2 linked regions of the Lonchura striata genome follow. The protein of the gene in region 1 purifies or fractionates together with the protein of each later gene. This does not show direct contact. Links are inferred from orthologs where the notes say so. Each region holds a gene or a part of one and is shown on either strand. Other genes may lie near its edges. The genes, in order: RPP40 and RPP25.

Region 1 (10,926 bases):
TGAGCAACTTGCATAGCACTGGCAGGTGCTTAACGTCTGGAGCAGCAATAAAATTTAGTCCCTTTGGCTAGAAAATCACTTGCCTCTGCAGTAGGACCATCCTTTCCCTTCCTGTATTCTTTGTAATTTAAGGAAATCAAGTCCTAGTTTTCCAGCCATGTAAGTAGTATGTGATAATGACATTAAAACATTACCAAAAGGATGTTATCATTATTCATATCACCATGAATTGAAATTGCAACCTTAATAAAATTCTTTTAGACTTTTTGTTATTATTGGCTTGGCACAATTCAGGGCAGTTCTCCTTACAAGCCATCTGCAGATAATACATAGTTCAATACATTTTCATACAGTAAATATTTAAGAATAAGTTTAGCAAAATATGTTTCCTTTGCTGGTATCTGGACTACTAATCTGCTGTAACTCTGTCTCCATTTTCATATCCAAACAAAACAAGAAGACAAATCCCATGTCTCCCATTTGTTTTCACTCCCAAACTGAGGAGACATTTAAAGGCTGCTACTTCCATGATTCAGTACATCTTTTTTATTGTCTCTAATACGATTGACTGTGAATGCAACCTAATAGTGCCAAAACTGAGTTGTTTATCTTTTTACTCCGTGAAGCAGGACTCACTTCAGTTTGAAAATACTTCAAGAAGTCACACTGTAAGGAGTTCAAAAATAATTCAGTTAAAAGAAGACACTTTGTTTTCAAAATAAAGATGTTCTTGAAGAAGTGTAACTGCACCCTGCTCCTTCTCCCATCCAAGAAACAGAAGTGTCTGGGAACAGTTAAAGTGAACAGAAAGTTTTCACTGCTCTGTGTTATACTCTTCCCAACAGCAAGCAGTAAGTAGATCACTGCCCACTCATCTCAGTGGACTCATTGCTTTGATTTCTGGTAGTTAATGTCCCTCTCCCGTGCATACCACTATTTCCTAATCACATAAGCAGTACTGCCCAGACCCTTTCCATCCAAGCATTTAACTTGCAAATCTAAGGATAACTCAAGAGGATCAAGATTAGCTAGACTAGTCTTAGAGAACCAATCTTTTGAGCCCTTAGTTATTTTTTGAATTATTAATTAGGCTGGAGAAACAAGGAGGAGCAAATTAAAAACCAATGGGGATTAATGAATTGATGAATTGAACAAGACTTTTAAGAGAGATGGATTAATTTTCGTTGTGAAAATTAAATGGATTCAGTGATTTAAAAGGCTAAATTACCTCAAAAACCTATTTCAGGAGTGACTTTCTCCCCTTTGCAGTTTTCCTTTTTTTTTACCTGTTGTCCTTGAAGATTACATTTAATTTCACCTAATTTTATTAGTTATCCTGGAAAATGAAGAAAAAATGGTATTTCTTATTTCTTCCACAAGAAGGATGCATTCATTCCCCAACAGAAATCGCTTCCTTTGCATTCCAAGAGCAAAAGATTTATCTTGGCCAAAGGCAGAGTGTTTTTATTTAACTGTGATGCCTGTCTTACTTTGAAATTTGAAGATTAATGACTTTGTGCAAAAGTCCATGTCTCTTTCCTGCCATATGTCAGGGGGGTGTCTCATCACTATGGTTTACAAATGAATACATGTAGTCGTCATTTCTTGATTCATGTTACAGGACAGGAAGACCCATAAAGTTTTGACACTCAGCTGCAACAAGATGCAAATTTTTTATATTTCACTTGAAATATGGGCTTAAAAAAAGAAATACTAAGACCTCAGAGTCATTCTGGACAAAAAACAAAAACAAAAACAAAAAAACTAAACCTAGAATATTAAAAAAAAAAAAAACAGTAAAAGAGAATGTAAGTATGAACATTCTAGGGAAGAAAAATAGAAAAAGGAAAGGACACTAAAACAGGTTGCTTGCTTAATGTCTTAACTGTGCACACCTCCCAGGAAAGGTGCTTGAGAAGTCCCCAGTCTTCAAAATCCTGGGGACCAGAAGGAAAAAATAACCCTCTGTAGTTATGGCTTCAACTCCCATATACATACACACTTCTATGTCATACTCTTACCTGTGCTCCTGGCTTCTCATATTGCTCTCATGTGTTTATAGTCATAATTACCTTGTGTATTTACCTTGATGGTTAACCTTCACATATTCTTTTAAATACTTCCTAAACAAAACTTGCTCCCATTGCTCCCATGAGCCAATTTAATATCAGCGTAGATTGTACTTCTAGGCTGAAACTTTGAATCTTGCTCAAATGAATGAAATGTACAGTTCTAATTTTAAACTTTTGATAATGCCACACTTGTACCTAAAAAGGTAGATCTTGCTGAAAGTACTGCTCTTATCAAGGAACATGATTTTGTTTTATTTGTGGGTTAGGATCTTTTTTGAAATCTTGGGTTATTTTAAATACTACAGTTTCTGTTGCTTGATTTAATAGATAATATTAGGGAGAGAAATCGTGAATGCAGGCACTCCAGCAACGGCTTTTTGAGAACAGAGGCAAACTCTCCATCCATAGAGAAAGAGGCTTCCAGCTGGCTGAAAGAACAGGCTCCTCTCCCTGTGGCTTTCCTCCTCTGCTGGCACCATCTCCAGCTTTGCTGGGCTTGAAACCAGCAACCATGTGGCTCTGATGTTGCATTGCAAAAGGGTGATTGAAATGTTACTGCACTAAACTCGCAGGGCCAAACTTTGGCACTCATCCTTTGTGGAAACAGCTAAGGTCAGCCCCACACAAGATTGGTGTGAAGTGCAGCACAGGACTTTTTATAATTTGGGGGTGTCAGAGAAACAGTTTAGCAAGATAAAAATGCCAGTGGCCTTGCAATCCCAAGACTTGATAATAGTATGCAGTAATACACAAAAGAAAGAACAACAGGTACAAGAAATATTACTACTTTATTGGTGGAAATGGCAAATCCTCTCCTTGAAGCTTGAGCTGTGACAGGAAGTATTCTGCACTCATTGTAAGAGAAAATTCATCCTACTTTTATCATACTTTTAACTTTCTGTGCCACCATTTACCTTTTTCTTTTTTTTTTTTTAAGATATGGACAGGAAGGAATGCTTAGTAATATTTTTTCTTTGCTTTGCATTCTGTATCTTCATGATGTTCATTCAAGTAACAGTGTGCTCTGCAGCAATTCCAGGAGCAGTACTAATGTTACTAGAAATAAAATGTTTTAAGGATATTATCAAGACAATTTCTGCAGGGACAATTAATATCCTTTAGCACACCAGCTCATATAATGGGGAAAATTATGTACAGATTGAGAACAAAACTGCTACGATGAGTTGAACACCATGGTGTTAATTGGTTATTCAGTTTGAAGGGAAATGGTGCCTGTTATCTGTCACACCAGGAGAGGAGACATTCGCAGTGGAAAATGCAACATTTTCCCCATTTGTTATGGCACAAGGAGAAGGACATCTTTATTGCCCATGGAAGGTCAAGGTGGGTGTGGAAGTGCTCCCTAGGATGTTTCCCAGTAGATGAAGGGGCAACTAGAGGAACATGGCCACAGTTTGTTACCTACTGCAAGAAAACAGAGTACATGTGCCTCATATTAGCCCTTATGTGAAGGACAATTAATCTGTTTAGGAGGAGAGAGAAACTGTGTGAAAATTCCCCAGTATCATGCAGGGCCCTGACAAAATCTGATCCTTGGGAGGCAAGTGGAAGGGATGACCCTGCTTGAATATAGATGAAACACACTCCTGCTCCCCAGAACCTTGTTGGAGGAATTATCACTCTCATTTCTTCTGCAATTGTAATACCACAAAACTGAGTAGGAGTTTTCCCAGATGTCTGAGGGCTTAACTCCAAGGAAAACAGATTAGATGGTTGGTTGGTTGGCTGGTTGGTTGGATGGTTGGTTGGCTGGTTATGGCATTTTAACCAAATCAAACAACTTGGTCCATGGTTAGCATTCACTGATCTTCCTGGCTTGAATGGCTGCTTTGGGGAGTAGCTCGGCAGAGCTTTGTCTGTAAGCCCCTTAAAGAGCAAGTCTGAGAGGGACCTTTTTTACAGTCCATCACTGCTCTGAATACATGGACTAAAGTCTGTAAAACACAGGTTATAAAGCTAACTGTCCACATCTTCACCATCTTTCCACTTTCCTCCATGAAAAAAACCAGTTGGTGCTGATCAAGTAAATTGCTGGTTTTCAGTCTTATGCCTTTTATTATTTTTAGATTAACACAGCACCAGAGGTACCTATTTGTTTCTGTTTTGACAATTACTCATTATAATAGCCGAGGTTAAAAGATTTAGACAACTTCCTTCCTTCTCTTCTGCAGTCAAAACTATTTAAGAAAGAAAAAGTGACTGAAAGGAAAAATATTTTGATTCATCTTAAAGACACAAACCAATATCAAAGGTCTGTGACAAATACTTGTTTAGATTTGATTTAATGAAACTCTAAGTATTGTAATAATGTTGTTTTTAAATCATAAAATCCAGCTTTTAAGATTTTTCTTCCATAGTGATAAAGGTATATACAAGAAGCAGGGCTTCACAAAAAGAGATACTGTACATAATGTGAAGATCCAACTTTTCTTTCCAAACTCAGTCATTTTTTACAAAATCAGAATCAAATTTCACCAGTCCCAGAAAGTACTTGAGAGATCCTTCTGTATTCCAACTTATTACAAGTTGCCTCAAGACAGTCCTTTCCTCTTTACTATATCCTGTAACTGTCTTGAAGCATGCAGAAACTGAGTTGCTGTAAAACTGCATTACCCTGTCACAGGTTTTAAATCCTTAGGAAAATTGTGATAGCTTTACGCCTTAAATTATTTAAAGTATTTAAAGTTTAAAAGGGTTTGGGTTTTTTGTGTTTTGGTGTGGTTTTTTGTTTTTAGGGTTTGTTTTTTTGGGGGGTTTTTTTGTTTTTTACAATATACAGAAATCCCATACCAAATTACTCATAAAACTGTAACAATGACTATAAAAAAGTCAGCATTAACCAACAATTAGTATAGACACATACATATATATACATGATTTATGTCTCATTTAAAGATAGGGAGATTCTGTGTGTTACAACACAGACTACTGGACTTCTAAGTGGGTTTTTAATGTAGTTCGGTGTCTTCAGGGAGTTCTCTAAAACACACATACTCTATAATAGGACAGCAAATATCTATAACTATGGGTGGGTTAAAATTAATTGCCTGACATATGAACCAAACTGACTGAACAGTGATGCAAATCTCCTTCAGTGCTCCACTGTGCTGCAGCGAGCTACACTCCTGCCAGAATCCATAAAATACGGACTTAACGCTGAATACACAACCACGCATCTTGACTCTCTTGACCCTTCCCCAACATATTTCTTCTTCAAGTCTCTTCCCATCCATTCGTATCCTCAGTAGAAAGCATAAATTGTATCAGCATAGAGAGGCACATGAAAAGCCCCAACACACCCCACAAAAACGGCCCCTCCCCGCCAAAAAAAAAATCAAATCAAACAAACAATAAACAAACCCTCCACATGCTGCTTTGAGTATAGCTGAATTTTCCTGCCTGGCTCTCGGGCTTATTGATCGAAGGCTTGAACTTTTCACCCCTTAGTAGCACAGGCTTCCTGATCGCTGCAGTGCGAGGCTCGTCTGCCCACGGAGGGTGTGATAACAACTGACATTAATCATGTCGCTCCTTCCCCATTAACGCTTGCATGCTTAGAAGGCTACTGTGATTTTACACAGCCTTGATTTGATTCGTAATAATCCAGTCAATCTGATTTATACGGGCAGGGCAGACTTCAGCCCTCCTCCACGGCGTTAAGGAGGCAAGGACCTCCCGAGGTGCGGCTTTCACCTCGGCGCAGGGCACAAACCTCCGAGCTCGGAGCAGCAGCAGCAGCGATGTCCCGGTGTCCCTCAAGCACACGGGCACTCGGAAAGCTCATGCCCTGAGACACCGGGGGCTGAGTTAGCCTAAGGAGCCAGAAGCGCCGCACTTAGCGACTCTGCTGGCTACAGAAACGGCAAGTACCCAAAAAGTTGCTCGGTGCCATTTTAAATTGAATTGGAAGCCGCGAAGCCAGGGGACCGGCAAAATAAACACTGCAGGAAGGCGGAAAGCCGGAATTTTCGTGTATGCTTTGTGTGAAATGTACAACATTCAGAAGGAGCGGCGAGACAACACAACACATCCAAGGCAGGGTCGCACTCCATGGCTCTTGTGCGGTGCCTGAGCAGACCGACAGGAGAGGCGCCCCGGTGCCTGGCTCAGCCTGCTGGGCTACTCGGGAGTCAGAGAACGCTTGGGGTTGGGACAACAAAGCTCATCCAGCTCCATACCCTCTCCCATGGGCAGACACGCCTTCCAGTACACCAGGCTGCTCAAAGCTCTGTCCAACCTGGCCTTGAACACTTCCAGGCATGGGGCGTCCACAGCTTCCCTGGCCAATCTGTTCCAGTGCCTCGCCACCCTCACAGTAAAGAATTTAATCTTAATATCTAATCTAACTCTACATTCTTTCAGTTTGAAGCCACTGCCCCTGTCCTGTCACTCCAGGCTGTTGGAAAAGGTGCCTCTCCCGCTCCCTCCGGGCACTGACCCACCGCCGCGCTTAAACCACCGCGCACTCTGCAGATGCACACCCAGCCCCTGCGGGGTCGGTGTCCGATCCGTGCCGAGGCTGCTCAGAGCCCGCAGGGACCGAGAGCCCCGAGCGGCCACCGGCGCTGGGCAGGGCACCGGCGACAGCGGCCGCCGCGGCCCCGCCGCCGCCACAGCGGAAGCGGCTGCGCCGCCGGAGCCGGCGGACGTGACCTCACGGCACGGCCCCTTCCCGGCCCTCCTCGCCGCGTCTGGCAGCTCCCGGTCGGCGGCGGCGGAGGAGGAGGAGGAGGAGGAGGAGGAGGAGGAGGAGGAGGAGGAGGAGGAAGGCGGGCGGGACCCGGGATGCAGCCGGCGCAGCTCGGGCGCGCGCCGCGGCACCTGCTGGTGTGCGAGCGCGGCCACGCGCGCCACCCGCGCTCGCGGCACGCGGCGCACGTGCGGGACCACGCCTACAGCTGCCGCGTGAGTGGCGGGATCCCCTCAGGGCGGCGGGGAGGGGAGGGGAGGGGAGGGGAGGGGAGGGAAGGGAAGGGAAGGGAAGGGAAGGGAAGGGAAGGGAAGGGAAGGGAAGGGAAGGGAAGGATCGGGGCTGCCCACGCCGCCGTCCCCGGGGTTTCTGCCCGCCAGCCGCTCCAGGGCGCGCTGCCGGCGCCCCGCTCGCGCCAGGCTCGGTGTTCTGTGGGGGCTCCTCCGTCCTTGCCAGAGGTGGCCCGCGCGCCTCGTTTTTGGGGGGGCGGGGTGTACAAATTATCAAATTATCCCCCTTTGTGTTTGTGGTCTCGCTCAGTATGGGAGAAACCAACTCCTCCCTTCCTCCAGGAGCAGGCAGGAGGAGCAGAGGGGTGAGCCGGTGGGAGAGGTGATGGTGCGGGTTTTAGGAGCTCTTTAAACACGGCGCAGGGTCCAGTTTAGGAAAGAGACATCGCTTATTCCGCGCAGGGCGCAAGGCGGAGGTTTCCGCAAGTCAAGCACACCACCTATCAAAGCGTTTCACTATTTATGCATTTTAGCAAACAAGATACAAGTTACATAGTTCTTTCATTAATTAGTACTATCTTCTGTTGGTTAGTGAGTCTCACATGCTAATTAATCTGCATGCTCAGTCTTTCTCAGCTTAGGAGTCAGGGGGTTTCTGGGGTCGGTGGCCGAGATCTCTACCTGCCGGAATTGCCTTTTATCCACTCAGAGCTGATTCAGCAGAGTTGCTGGGTTTATTAAGTTTCTTACTTATTTTGAGAGTTCTGCTAAATGCCTTTGTGGCCCATAAATTCTGCGTTCTTTCTGCCCACTATCAGTGGTACATCCTTCTCCCCAGGCTTTGTTAACCTCACCCTAGGTCTGAGATCACTGAAACATGTCCAGCCCTAAAGGTTAACAAAGAGACCTGGACTTCACTTAGGGCTTGTTAGCTGTGCTCTCGTTTCATGGATTAAATCTCCCTTCTTGTTGATTAGGCATGAAAGTGTACAAAGGCCACGCATCAAAGAACATCCTTCCTTAAGAAAAGTTGTAGCTATTCCACATTTTGCAGCAATCAGGCAAGACCCTATTTGATAACTCCCTTCTCATACCCTGTAACTCTCTGGGCTAATTGTTAACTGTTTCTGACTTCTGGGACCTTTTTTAGCAGCTAATCAGAAAGCTTTCTACCGGCATGGAAGGCAGCTCGTTTGTCAGTCCGTTCTTCTCTTGAACATGTGTGCCAAGGGAGATACACACCTGGTCTTCAAAAGCTTTGGGAAATAAGTTTTTTGAGGGATGGAGGGAGGAGCAAGGAGACATACCTTTATGCTGCCTCTGAGGCTTCATACTTGCCCATCTATTACTTGCCAGATATTACCTTATTTCCCTCTTCTGCCATACTTCAGGATTCTCTTGGTCTATGGAAAATGTATGGGGAAGGTTTTAAGCAAAAGGTAAATTGAAGATTCTACTTTGGTCTTTGCTTTTCCACTGAGATTACAGAAATGGTTAGCATACATTTTTAGTTGCAACTGCTTTAACAAGTACTCCAGCATGGGCTGAAGGTGTCCCAGTGCGACATCAAGCTAAAATGTGTAATGATGTGAAACGAAATCTTCTGTTAACTCATGCTGTGTGAGATCATGTCTTTACATAATACATCAAATGCTATTGTATAGAAAAAAAAAAGGGGGGAAAAACCACAACAAACAAACAAACAAAAAACAAACAAACCAACCAAAACCCAAACCAGCAAATAATGTATTTAGTGTACCTGGAGACTATGAAAATTGATACATTTTGAAGACAGTAGCCTGATACTACTTTTTTTCCATTCCATTATGATATAATATACTGATCCATCTTTGAAAAGTAGAGGTTTTCTTTTGTATTTCTTGTAGTTTTGTTTGGTTGGAGTTTTTTTCAGAACAGGTTTTAGGATAGGATTTGTATTACAAATATCCTCTGAACAGGTGTCTTTTTTGATCCCGGAATGTGGCCTGCTGCCCGAAGTGCTGAAAAGCACAATTGCAGATATTGGAGAGTACTACCTGGTGAGGAGTTTACCCATTCATGAATTGGTCGCTCATGAATTCATTGATGCTTTTGTGAAGAAAGGTAAGGAGGAAATCAAAACAGAGCAAATACAATCATAATGTACCTTTTTATAGCACAGCAAAATTTTTAATAGTCTTATTATTTATTCTGAAAAGTGTTTTAAAGGAAGGAAAGGAAAAGCACTAAGAAAATTCTGCATTAATTTGTTTATATGCTTTTTTCTGCTTTGTCACGTGTGACAACATCTGTTTACACCCACAGGGTCTAAAACTCCTCTGATTCTTCCTAATAAATTTCTCTCTCTTCCACCTCAATTCTGAAAGCCAGCTATCAAGAGGGCTTCCATGTATCCTCACACTTGTTTCTTCTACACCTCACTTTTGTACAGATTCTTATAGAAAACTTCCTTCTCCCTTTTTTGTTCCTTCATGTCTCAACACAGAGCTGTGCTGAGCTGTGTTCCACAGCAGGCAAGAGAAAAATATGCTTCCTTGTTTTTTATATTTCACTAAGAGAGCTGTGACAGCTCATTCTTACCCAGTAAGAGCAAAGAGGATGCAAAGAAAGTTACAGTCTCTGCCCAGCCACTTTGTCTTTGTTTGGACTGGTAATAAAAATATGTCTGGGAAAAAATAGGGTTTTCCATTTGATGACTGTGGAGAGTCAGAGGTCACAGAAGGAAGTAAAATGTTTTCATATCGGGGATTATTATTAACCTATTAGTAATTATTAATAATTAACCCTATTATAGGTCCTTTAAAATATTGCGAGAACAGGGTTTTTAAAAATAATAACAATGCCATTTTGCTTGAGAAGGTGGGAGAAAATTAATGAAAACACAAGAGTGATTCAGATGGTGTTTGTCATGTTTGGTTGTCTTGAAGTGAATTGTTTCTTTTGTCATGTCTGTCTTTACAGACTGTCTAATCTCATGTTTTTCTGCTTTACTGTTAAAGGTTCATGCTATGCACTTACCTATAAGACAAAAATTGATCAAGATAATACTGCAGCTCTGCTACCAAATGGTATGAAGGATTTGTTTTGTTTTTAGTAATATGTGTCAATTGTGGTCTGGGTTGTTTATTTGTTTTTTTGTTTTTTTTTTTAAATTTGGAATGATGTAAACTGAAAAATAATGCTTACTGTAATTGATAACTTTGTTAGAAATACATGTGAAATGGGAAAATACTAATTTTAGCTCTCTTTTTTCATTCATGCTGTTAAATTTTTTGTCTCATCTAAAGGAAATTAAAGAGGAATAAAAATCAGCTTCATTTATGTATAGTCAGATTGTCAGTGCTTCAACGATAATTGCAATTGCTACAGGGAATTATCTTTGTGAAAACATTAAATTCCAACTTCTTGTTTCCTACTGGTCTTTAAGACAGAATTTTGTACCAAAAAAGAAAGTTATCAGCACTGCTTAGGAACACTTTTTAAGTGTTTATTCTCATGAGACCCACCTTGGGTACTTCATTCAACTCTGGGTCCCCAGCAGAGGAAGGACACGGACCTGATGGAACAAGTCCAGAGGAGGTCACAAAGATGCTCACAGAGCTGGATCACCTCTCCTTTGAGGACAGGCTGGGAGAGCTGGGGTTGTTTAGCCTGGAGAAGAGATGGCTCTGGGGAGAATCAGAGCGCCTGCCTGGAAGCAAACCACAGAGGAAATTTTTAACAGGTCATGTAGCAGTAGGATGTGGGGGAATGGATTCAGACTGGAGAAGGGTAGGTTTAGATTGGACATCAGGAAAAAAGTCCTTACTGTGAGTGTGGTGAGGCCCTGGAACAGGTTGCCCATAGAAGTTGTGGTGCCCCATCCCTGGAAGTGCTCAAGGCCAGGTTGGATGGGGCTTTGAGCAGCCTGCTC
Region 2 (10,459 bases), on another chromosome or scaffold:
GCCCCACACCCGCGCCACCGTGGGGCGAAAGCACCGGGACAGCCAGAAATTCGGCTGGGGTGTTTTTGCAAAATTAGGAATATGGTGGAGTGGATGGAAAAAGGACGGGGGATCGCATAGGTGGTGGCAGCGAGAAGAAACACTTCTGGTGCGTGGGGTGGGTTTGGGGAGGGCAGGCAGGGCTCGGCCTCGCCGTGCATCGCTGCCCGTGCATTTCCACGCGTGAAGGGCTGCATGCCCCACGCATCCCCACCAAAAGCAGTCTCCCAGCAGCGGCCTGGATCCGGGAGAAGGGCGGCCCAACCCCCGCTCGGTCCCCGGTGCACCCACGCGTGTGCAGGGTCACCGCGGCTGCCCCCACGCCGCGCATCCCCCCCCCACCCCGCAAGCGGGGTGCAGAGCGGGAGGTCGGTGCAAAGGGCAGTCAGCCCCCCAGGGGGGAGCATCCAGCGCCCTCACGCCGCGGCGTTTCCCCTGGCCACACTCCCGGGACTCACCACGTGGCGTGACCCGTCCCGTCCCCTCCGGTCCCCGGCGGGTGGCGGCGGCCGCCCGCCCGCCCGGTGCTGCTCCTGCCGCAGCGACCGCGCTCTCGCGAGACTGCGGCGCCGCCGCCACCCGGGCTATGGGCAGCGCCGGGATCTCGCGAGAGCGCCCGCCGCTGTCCAGGGTCCTGATGCCGCCGGATGGAGGGGCGGGGCCGAGGGGAAGGGGCGGGGCCTTTGCCGGGGGGCTCTGTAGGGCTGGGGGCTCCATGGCGCTGGGAGTCCTCTGTGGGGCTGGGAGTGCTCTGTAGGGCTGGGGGGACTCTATAGGGCTGGGGGCCCCATGGGGCTGGGAGTGCTCTGTAGGGCTGGGAGTGCTCTGTGGAGCTTGGGGGGCTCTGTGGGGCTGGGAGCTCTGTGGGGCTTGGGGGGCTCTGTGGGGCTGGGAGCTCTGTGGGGATAGGAGTGCTCTGTGGGGCTGGGAGTGCTCTGTGGGGCTTGGGGGGCTCTGTAGGGCTGGGGGCTTCATGGGGCTGGGAGTGCTCTGTGGGGCTGGGAGTGCTCTGTGGGGCTTGGGGGGCTCTGTAGGGCTGGGGGCTCCATGGGGCTGGGAGTGCTCTATGGGGCTGGGAGTGCTCTGTGGGGCTGGGAGTGCTCTATGGGGCTGGGAGTGCTCTGTAGGGCTGGGAGTGCTCTGTGGGGCTGGGAGTGCTCTGTGGGGCTTGGGGGGCTCTGTAGGGCTGGGAGTGCTCTATGGGGCTGGGAATGCTCTGTGGGGCTTGGGGGGCTTTATAGAGCTGAGGGTTCCATGGAGCTGGGAGAGCTCTATGGGGCTTGGTGGCCTTTACAGGGCTGGGGGCTTCATGGAGTTGGGACTGCTATATGGGCTTTGAGGGGCTTTATAGGGCTGGGAATGCTCTATGGGGCTTGGGGGGCTTTATAGGGCTGGGGGCTTCATGGCACTAGGAGTGCTCTATGGGGCTTGGGGGGCTTTACAGGAGTGGGGGCTCTATAGGGGTGGGAGTGGGCTTGAGGGGCTTTATAGGGATGGGGGTTCTATGGGGCAGGAGTGCATGATCCCTACCCAGGGCATGGCAAGCACTGTGTGGGTAGAAGGGCAGGGGCCCTGGGGTCAGCCCTGGCAGGGTACACAGGCTCCCTCTATCCAGGAGGCAATGGGAAACCAGCAGGGCCAAGCTTGGGGTACGCCATGCCCATGCCCTGATGTGCTTCATTCTGGAAGCAGTAATTAATTAATGGCTCGTGTGAAGGGCAGAAGACGTTGATTGCTTTTGCCAGTGATGCCAAGGTTGGGATGTGGAGGGCAGGGGAAGGGACTGGACTGATTCACAGACGGGACAAGGTTCAGAAGCTCCTAAAAGGGATGTAAGTCCCAAACCAGCTGAGTGCTCCATAGGCTGTGTCCCTTGTTCTCAGTGTCACAGAGTTCTGTGCACACCACTTGGACCTCCTGCCTTAGTGCTTGTGAGAATATCAGTGAAGTGTTGTGAAAATTTCTTTATTTGACAGCTAAATCATCTTCCCTTCCCAGCATCCACCCTCAAGGGTCATGGAGGGGCAGTAAGGACAACATCCCACCACGGGAAGATGAGAACAGCTGGGCAAGGAAGCAGCAAAATCTCTTTACACCAGTGAGCCCTGGTGGCCAAACCCCTTCAGCAGGGGAACAGCATTGCTGTGGGCATGCAAGGAAGGAAACCTGGCAGAAAGAGGGAAAATGCCTGCTCCACAGATGGTAAAATAGAGGGAAGCAGGAAAACCAGCATGCCACAGATGACCCCATAGCAGGGGGCCCAGCTGTCCACTCTGACCCCTTTCTGGACCCTGAGCTGTCCCCCTGAGAGAACAGGGACCCCTGCACATCTCCATGCCCTGCCCAGCAGCGGGGAAGGAAGGAAGGGGTGGGATTGGGATCATGGATTCCCACTCCCGCCAAGCACTGGAGATGCTCAGCGCCTTGGAGAGCTGCTCTGGCTCTGCCTGTGGACACTGAGCACACTGGATATTTGGGGCTGAATTCTTGTCCCTTATTTCTTTCTCTCCAGCTTTCTCTCACCTGAATTTCCTCCCCACCTGCATCTCTGCTGCCTCAGCACCCTCCCATCCCACTGAGGCTTTGGGAATGGTCACATACAGAGCTGATCCTTGCCCTTGGCACTGCCACATTTTTGCCTGCCTGCAGGTTTTCCAGTCAGGGATATTCAGGAATCAAATGGATATGTTCTCCCCTGCTTCACAGGGATGCCTGGAGAGCCAAGGGATAACAGGTGGAAGAGCCTCCCTGTCCATCCCACACTCCCTGAGCAGGGCAGGCTGGGCAGGAAAGGCAGGCCCAAAGAAAAGGCTGCATCAAGCAGCAAAGTCTCAGCAAGCAAACAGATTCAAAAACAAGGAAATCAATCCACAGGTCCAGTTTAGTGTCAGTCGGTAGGTTGGAGTCCAGACCAGCTGCAGCTGACCCAGAAACCAGTCCTGACATAGCTGAGACTAGGACTGAGACCCCTGGGTTGAGCTTAAAAAGAGCTCCTGGGCCGTGGGCACAGGGGGTTGGAGTCCTAGATGGGGTTGGTGAGGAACATTCAGGTTTATTAATGTCCTCAGGGTCCTTACAACATCCCTCTTCTTATTATGCTGGAGCTCTGCAAAGGGATTTGTCTTATGAAAGGGATTTTTCCCTTTTCTTTTACCGTTGGGTTATTCAAAATGAGGATTATCTTGAGCTCTGTAATTTTCTGCTTATGGCAGGGATAAGAACTCAGCAGAGAGCTGGTGCCACCCTAGGGTGCTCCTAGGGTTCCTCTGGCATCTTGGCACAGCCCCTGCGCCCTGGGCTGTATCCTCAGGGGGCTGCTGCTGGGAAGCAGCAGCTCTGGACCCTGACTGGGATGAGGGCAGGGGATCCCTGCAGCTGTGGCATCCTGGAGGTGCCTGTGCACCCCTTTTGCCAGGGTTGCAATGTGCCCTGGCATCAGCCCGCTGCCGAGTGCAACGTGATGAGAGGCTGAGACCTGAGCTGCGCCGATGTGACGCAGAGATGGGCGATGGCACCGAGACTTTCCTTGTATCGGATGCTCCCACTTTCCGTCCTCTTCCCAACCAGGGCCACCTTGCATGAAAGAAAATATGGAGAGGGCAGGTGGAGGACAGGGGCTCAGGTTACTGCTCCTCTCCACCTGCTCTGATCTCCATTAGGAATATGTTTCTGGGGTTTTTTCCCCACTTTTCCAGGTCTGTCTGGGCTCTGTGCTGCATCCAGCAGCCCTCTCCATTCCTGTCACCACAAGCTCTCCTCTTGGCTGCTCTCCCAAACAGCTCTTCCAAGCTCACACCTCCTGTGGGGTTGGGACCAGGCAAGAGGGTCCCACAGGGATTTGGAAATCCTCTGGCATGGGGTTGGGATGGCACTGGAATGCTCAGAGAGAAACTGTAATGGGAAAGGGGAACCAGAAAACACTCTCTGGGTGTGGGTCCCACTGTAACCAGAGTGGCTGCTCAAGGAGGGCAGACAGACAATACTCAGCATGTAATTCTTTTACTCTTATTTTTTCATCACTCCTGCCTTCCCCATTTGCTTCTTCTCCATTTTAAAGGACTCCCCATCCTCTTTTCCAGCTTTTGTTTCCCTGATTCCCCACGGCTGGAGCTGTCTGTGCCTTTGTCCCCCCATCTCTGCTTTTCCTTTCCCACCCTACTGAGCTCATTTCAGCTATTCCTTGGCTTGGAGTAACCCATCCACACTGTTGTCCTCCAACAAATAAGCTGACAGGCTAATGAATAGCTTCAGATGGTAATTAGCAACGGAGTTGCTAATAATGAATTTCATTTACATTTTAAGCGCTGCAGAGGGAAAATAAGCCCCTGTCATTAATGCCCCCCTGCTCCCAGCACAGCCTTGGCCTTGGGGGGAATGCACCCTCTGGAAGCCTTTCTGTGATTGCACCTCTCCCGCCTCCATTTCGGAGGCTGCGATAAGCAGAGTTCATTAAGCAGCAATTAGAGATGGAGGGGGGGAGAAGCTGCTGCTGCTTCCATCATCTGATGGTGGGGAAGCGCCATGGTGCCATGGAAAATGGGCCACGGGAGGCAGGAGCTGGTTCTGGGCCAGGAAAGAAGGGCTGGGTGGTTCAGCCAGCACCAGGGATTCACGTGGCTTGCCCAGAGCCCTGGAGCTGTCAGCTCTCCACATCCATGTAACCCTCCCAGGCTCCCTGGATAATGACCCTGAGGGATTTCTCAGTCACTGAAATCCTTCCCGATTATTTCCCTAGGGGTTTAGCACATTTTGAAGGCAGGAATTTCCCTGAGGGGCTTAATCCATCCCTGCCTGCCCAAAGAAAGAGCCAAGTGCCTTCTGCATGGATTCCATGATTTGTTGGCAAATGGAAAGATGGAGAAATGTCATTGTTTTGTCTTGTAGGAGTGGGGAATCCATGGTGGGAGCACAGGGAACAGGTTTGCCCACTACTGCAGAGCATCAGAAGGGACTTGGGAATGCTCAAAGCCTGGATCTGGTGCTGGGGGTGAGCCTAGGAGTGTTGCTTGCCCTGCCTCAGTTTCCCTCTGTGCCCAAGGCGCCTCAGGGAGGGTTAGATGGATTGGGAAACAATGCTCCGCATCTACAGGGGTTTTCCAGCACACTGCTTGTGGATGGAGGGTCCCATCCCATCCCATCCCATCCCATCCCACAGACCCACCCAGACCCCAGTCCAGTGGTTGGATCAGGGGGTGTCCCAAATCCATCCCCATTTAGGCAGTGGTATACATAGAAAGCTGCTTTGGGGACCACAGGGATGAGGGATTCTCCCCAGATAGGATGTGACAGCCACATCCTGCCTTCACCTTTGCAGACATGGATCGATTTTATGATTTATTTATTTATTTATTTATGTTTTTTTTTTCAAGCCCTGCTAGAAGTGAAACCAATCCAGGGGCCTCCAGAGGCCGATAAGATTTGACTGCAAGTCAATACTCACATGTCTTTCCACTGTGCAATGATCCCCCGGCCAGCGGGGCGGGAGGGGACAGGCAGGTGACAGGGGCGGGCAGAAGGCCAGCCTGGGGCAGGGACATCGCCTCTGCTCTGGGAAGGGATTGGGGGCAGGAAGGGGACATCTCCTAGCCTGCAGCAGGGATTTTCTGGGATTTGTTGCCAGTATATATAATGGTGAGCCCGCAGTGGGCAGCTCCACATTGGGGATGAATGAGGGACAGGGACTGGGAGAGCTGCAGGGAGAGGGAGGGATGGGGAAGGAGGAGGAGCGGGAGAGAGGGAGAGAAATTGCCCATGAAAACCAGCTCTGCCATGGCATCTGCTCCTCGGAGCTTTGGGAATTGAGAGGTTTTCCTGCTGGCAAAGCCGGGGCTGAGGCAGCAGGGTGCTGGGGGGAGCAGAGCCCTGGCACACTCGATGCACGCTCGCCTGCGATGCCATCTGCCAGGCTTTCTCCTGGCTGCGGGTTCCTGTGGCTTCTCTCATGGCTAACAAGGGTCGAGCTCAGACTCCGAAGTACTTCCTGAAGTACCTGCTGCATCTTTGTGCCATCCCTGGACACAGCGTGGCTGGGATTCCGCATCCCTCTGGGAATGCTGCAGGGCAGGCAGGCAGGGTGACATTTGCAGTTAGCAGTGGGCGTCCTTGAGAGGAGCGAGCACCGAGAGAAGGGACCAGGTTCTCTTTAAGGGGGCAGGACTTTGGGAACATTATGAAGGCAAGAGTGAGCTTCTCCCTCTGCCTTCCACCCTCCCCTCCTTCCCTTCTCTGTTCCAGGACAGAGACCTGGGTTCCCTGCCCTCCCCTTTGCCTGGCAGGGATGAAGGCAGGAGCAGGGTGCTGGGATGGGCGGCTGAGCAGGGGAGGAGGAGGAGGAGGGGAGGAAGGGGAGGGAGAGGGGGAGGATCTGCTAATTACACAGAACAGCTCTGGGGGCTGCTGAAGTCCAGAATGAAGCAAAGAGCAGCAGAAGCGAGTGCTGCAGCGGGAGCGGAGGAGCCCAAGCATCACCAAGAGCTGGAGCTGGCTGTTATCCCTGCTGAGAGCAACTGGGAGCACCCAGAGGATCCTGCAGCCCTGCCTCCCACAGGAGACAGCCTCTGGCACTGCCACCGAGCCCACAGCCAGCCCCTGGAGAGCCGAGGAGAAAGGGCTGGTGGTTGCAGCACACAGGGCTGGGCTGGAGGGCAGCGAGGTCAGCCCTGCTATGGTTGCCGGGGGCTAGGAGCCTGTGTGGATCCACCGGGAAGAGGTGAAGGATGGCTGCCGAAGGAGGGAGAGCCAAGCCCGCTGCCCAGTCCAGGATGGAGAACTTCCGAAAGGTGAGGACCTCGGAGGAGGAGATGCCATTACCCTTCCCAGACCTGCCCCCGGACGTGGTGGAGATGAAAGTCAAGGAGGGCAGCAAGATCAGGAACCTGATGAACTTCGCCATGGCCCAGATGGAGCTGAAGGGCAGGCGGCAGATCGTGTTCAGCGGCTGCGGCAGGGCGGTCACCAAGACCATCACCTGCGTGGAGATCATGAAGCGCAAGCTGGGAGGGCTCCACCAGGTCACCAAGGTACGCTACAAAACTGTGCTGGAGGTCTGGGAGAACCAGGACCCACCGCCCGACGGCCCCGCACAGAACCTGACTGTCCACAAGAACGTCCCCTCCATCTGCATCCTGCTCTCCCGGGACCCCCTGGATCCCAACCAGATGGGGTACCAGCCCCCCGAGCCCCGGCATGAGGCGGGAGAAGACACACTGGGGTCCTCCACCAAGGGGCTGAAGCGGACGCTGCCACCTCCCTGCGAGGAGCTGCTGCCCAAGAAGCTGCAGGTACAGGTGCCTGACAGCCCCAGGGGCACGGGGACCACTGCTGGCCAGCAGGACCACTGACCCCAGTGCCTCCCACCCTACCAGCCAGGTATCGAGGCAGGAATATCCACTCATTCCAAGGTCACTGGTGGGCTGCAGACTCCCCCTGACCTGTCCCCACTTGCTGCTTTGACCCCTGTGGATGGGGGTCCCCAGATTTGGCGTGAGTGTTAAACGGTTAAACCCTCCATGGATTGAAGCAGGTGAGGCTGTGGGGGGGAGCTGGTGACCTCTAATTCAGCCAACCAGGGACACTGTGACCACCAGCCACCTCCTGCAGCAACTCCCAGGGAGCCAGAGCAGCCGAGGGGTGCCTGGACCACCACACCGCTCCCCACTGCAAACACCTCATCCATCAGGAGAGATGGGTTTGCTCCAAGCTTGTTGGAATAAAACCTTCATTATCAAACCTGCCGCTGAGGAGCTGTTGGAGTTACTAATGACAGGCTCAGCATCCTGTGAGACTGTGATTCATCCCAAAAAAATCACCCAAACAAGCACAGGGGTTGTTCTCTCCCTGCACCCACAGAGCCAAGCACTGTACTGTGCTGCCTGCCTGTGGGACAGCAAAAGGAAATAAAACAACCCACACTGGATACTCTGGTCTGGAGCTCGGGGAAGCCACGGTGTGGGAAGCTGGGGGCAATGGAAGCATTGGGCAGGGGATTATTGTGACTGGATGCAGTGCCCAGCACAGGATGAGGAGGTTTTGGGGTTGTGCCTTGGCTGCAGAGTGCTTCAGAGCAAAATCCCTGCTACTTCCAGGGGGTAAAGAGAAATGAATGGAAAATAAAAGCTCTTTAGAAATAGATATGTCTATGGGAAAAAGGGGGGATCATCGTGGCTGCTGGCCATGGCACGGATCAGCACAGTGAAGGCTGCTGCCAGCCCTCAACAAGGGGATCCCAGCCAGACTCTGTCCCTTGGAAGAACGGGACTGGGGTCTCCTGTGCCGGCACAGCAGCACCTGGCAAAGCCCCAGTTCCAGGGGGGACGGAGGAGATGTGGGGGATGTGTTATGGGATGCCAAGCCTTGATCCACCTGGTTCCCTCTGCCCAGCGCCTAGCAGCACTGCGGGATGAATTAATCGGTATTAAGGAGCAAACCCTTCCCAAAATCCACGTGAGGGATTCTCTGGCTGCAGCTGCCTTATCTCCCTGCCTCACTCCTGCTCTACAGGGACAGTCAGCGTTCTCTCTTTGTCAAGGGCTTGCTTGGCTGGGAGTGGGAATGAAAGGAGAGGAGGAGGAAGAGGAGGAAGCAGGGTCTGTTTTGTGAGGCAGTGACCTTGTTATCTCCCTCAGCAGGCAGATGCTCCTCGGGCCAGACGCTTGTGCTTATCTGTCCTACTGCAGATTGATTCCCTTCACTTGAACATTAATTTCCAACTGTTTTGTTTTTATGTTAATGATCTTTTTTTGTTGTTGTTGTTGGTTTGGGGATGGTAAAGCTTTGGGCTCTATCCCATCCAGCTCCCCCCAGCTCCTTTATGCAGTGCAGACCCCATCTGAAGGATCTAATGATCAACCCTTCACCCCACACAGGAGCACCAGGTACAGCCACCTACACCAAATACATTAAAAATTACTAATAAAATTAATTTAAAACCCTGTAATTAATAAATCTCTCTGTAAACACCCTGATCAGAACCTGAAGACTGTGGGAGTCACATGGTCAAACACTAACAGCCCTTCACCTTCACTGCTGCCACCTCACATTTCTCCGAGCAAGGAAACAAGAATAAAAACCACTTATTTCTCCTTATTTTGTTCATTTGCAAGATCTCTTCAATGGCTTTCATTGACAGGTAGTTTCCAATCACAGAGGCAGCTCTGGGGATTTTACCCTCCTTGCTTGCTTTGCTGGCTGCGGATTGATAACTTCCTGCAGGGGAAAATAATAAAAAAGGACTGTTAAAAAAAAAAAGTATTTAAACGAGAATGATGATGCCGGGGGACGTGGTGAGTGGAATAATCACGACGGTTTTGTGGTTTTGTGCGGCACTGCAGAGGCACAGCCCCAGGGATGAGTTTTGTGGCGATTTCGTGCCCGGGTCGGTGCGGCGGTGGCTGAGGGCAGCAGCGCACGGTGTGGGGACAGGGACACTCGGAGAGCTGGGAGGTGGCGGGCGCGGCCGAGCCGCTCTGAGCCCATTCCCCTCACAGGGACCGAGTGCGGGGTGCCCATTGACAGGGACGCAGAGGCTGCACTGGGGCTGCGCGGACTCGGATAAATGGGGGCGGCAACAGCCCGAACCCCTCCAGACCGAGCCCGATCGTCTCAAAAAAGCAGCCCAAACACTCCCGCGGCGCTCCTCGGCGAGGTGAAGGGCCGGCGGACTCGCTCCCCTCACGCACAAAATGGCGGCCGGCCCCGCCCCAAGATGGCGGCGGTCCCGCCCCGCCGCGCCCCCAGCCCGTCCCCGCCGCCTCCCGCCCTTCCACGCTCCCCCTCCGTCCCCGCCGCGCCGCCGTACCCGCCTCAGCGGCCCCCCTCGGCCCTCACCTCCGTCCCTCCCTCCCGGTGCGCTGCGGGACCCAGCGGCGCGCCCCCGCTCCCCGGTGCTGTTTCCCCCCTCACAGCCCGCCGCCATGCTGGCCGCCAGCGCCTCTCTGCTCCGCCGCTGCGCCGTCTCCGGCCTCCGCGCCGCCGTCCGCCGGCCCGCCGGCCCTGCAGGTGAGCGGCCGCACTGTCTCCGTCCCTGCCGCCGCGCTCGGCGCCCGGGCTGCCGGCGGGGCGGGGAGCGGGGCCACGCGGCCCTGCGTGTCCTTGCCGTGACCCCGCGGCCTGCGCGGGCCGCCGCCACCGGGCACCGCCTCAGCGGGCACCGGCTCGGCGGGCACCGGGCACCGCCTCAGCGGGCACCGGGCACCGCCTCAGCGGGCACCGGCTCGGCGGGCACCGGGCACCGCCTCAGCGGCCACCGGGCACTGCCGCACCGGGCACTGCCGCACCGGGCACCGCCGGGGCTGCAGCGGGGGCGGTGGCGCTTCCCCTGCGCCCCCCGCCAAGGTGACATTGATGCAGGGCGGCCGTGATCTCCGCCAGCCCCATCCCCGGCTCCGCTGCAGCTCCGCGCCGGCCCTCACCCTCCTCACTG

The links.
Region 2: the proteins of RPP40 (region 1) and RPP25 purify together in Homo sapiens (affinity purification with mass spectrometry; 3 studies listed by BioGRID and IntAct, counting the BioPlex papers as one, with this or other methods). This does not show direct contact. The link is inferred for Lonchura striata from reciprocal best matches to the Homo sapiens genes RPP40 and RPP25.

Annotation. Positions count from the first base shown.
Region 1 is NC_134603.1:94,110,402-94,121,327, forward strand, and holds the start of RPP40 (ribonuclease P protein subunit p40), read left to right. Parts: upstream 1-6,877; 5' UTR 6,878-6,878; coding exon 6,879-6,998; intron 6,999-8,971; coding exon 8,972-9,116; intron 9,117-10,012; coding exon 10,013-10,081; intron 10,082-10,926. UniProt on the Homo sapiens protein: Component of ribonuclease P, a ribonucleoprotein complex that generates mature tRNA molecules by cleaving their 5'-ends. Also a component of the MRP ribonuclease complex, which cleaves pre-rRNA sequences.
Region 2 is NC_134613.1:5,874,269-5,884,727, forward strand, and holds RPP25 (ribonuclease P protein subunit p25), read left to right. Parts: upstream 1-6,265; 5' UTR 6,266-6,755; coding exon 6,756-7,379; 3' UTR 7,380-8,167; downstream 8,168-10,459. Other genes in the region: COX5A (cytochrome c oxidase subunit 5A, mitochondrial), read left to right, coding at 9,951-10,035. UniProt on the Homo sapiens protein: Component of ribonuclease P, a ribonucleoprotein complex that generates mature tRNA molecules by cleaving their 5'-ends. Also a component of the MRP ribonuclease complex, which cleaves pre-rRNA sequences.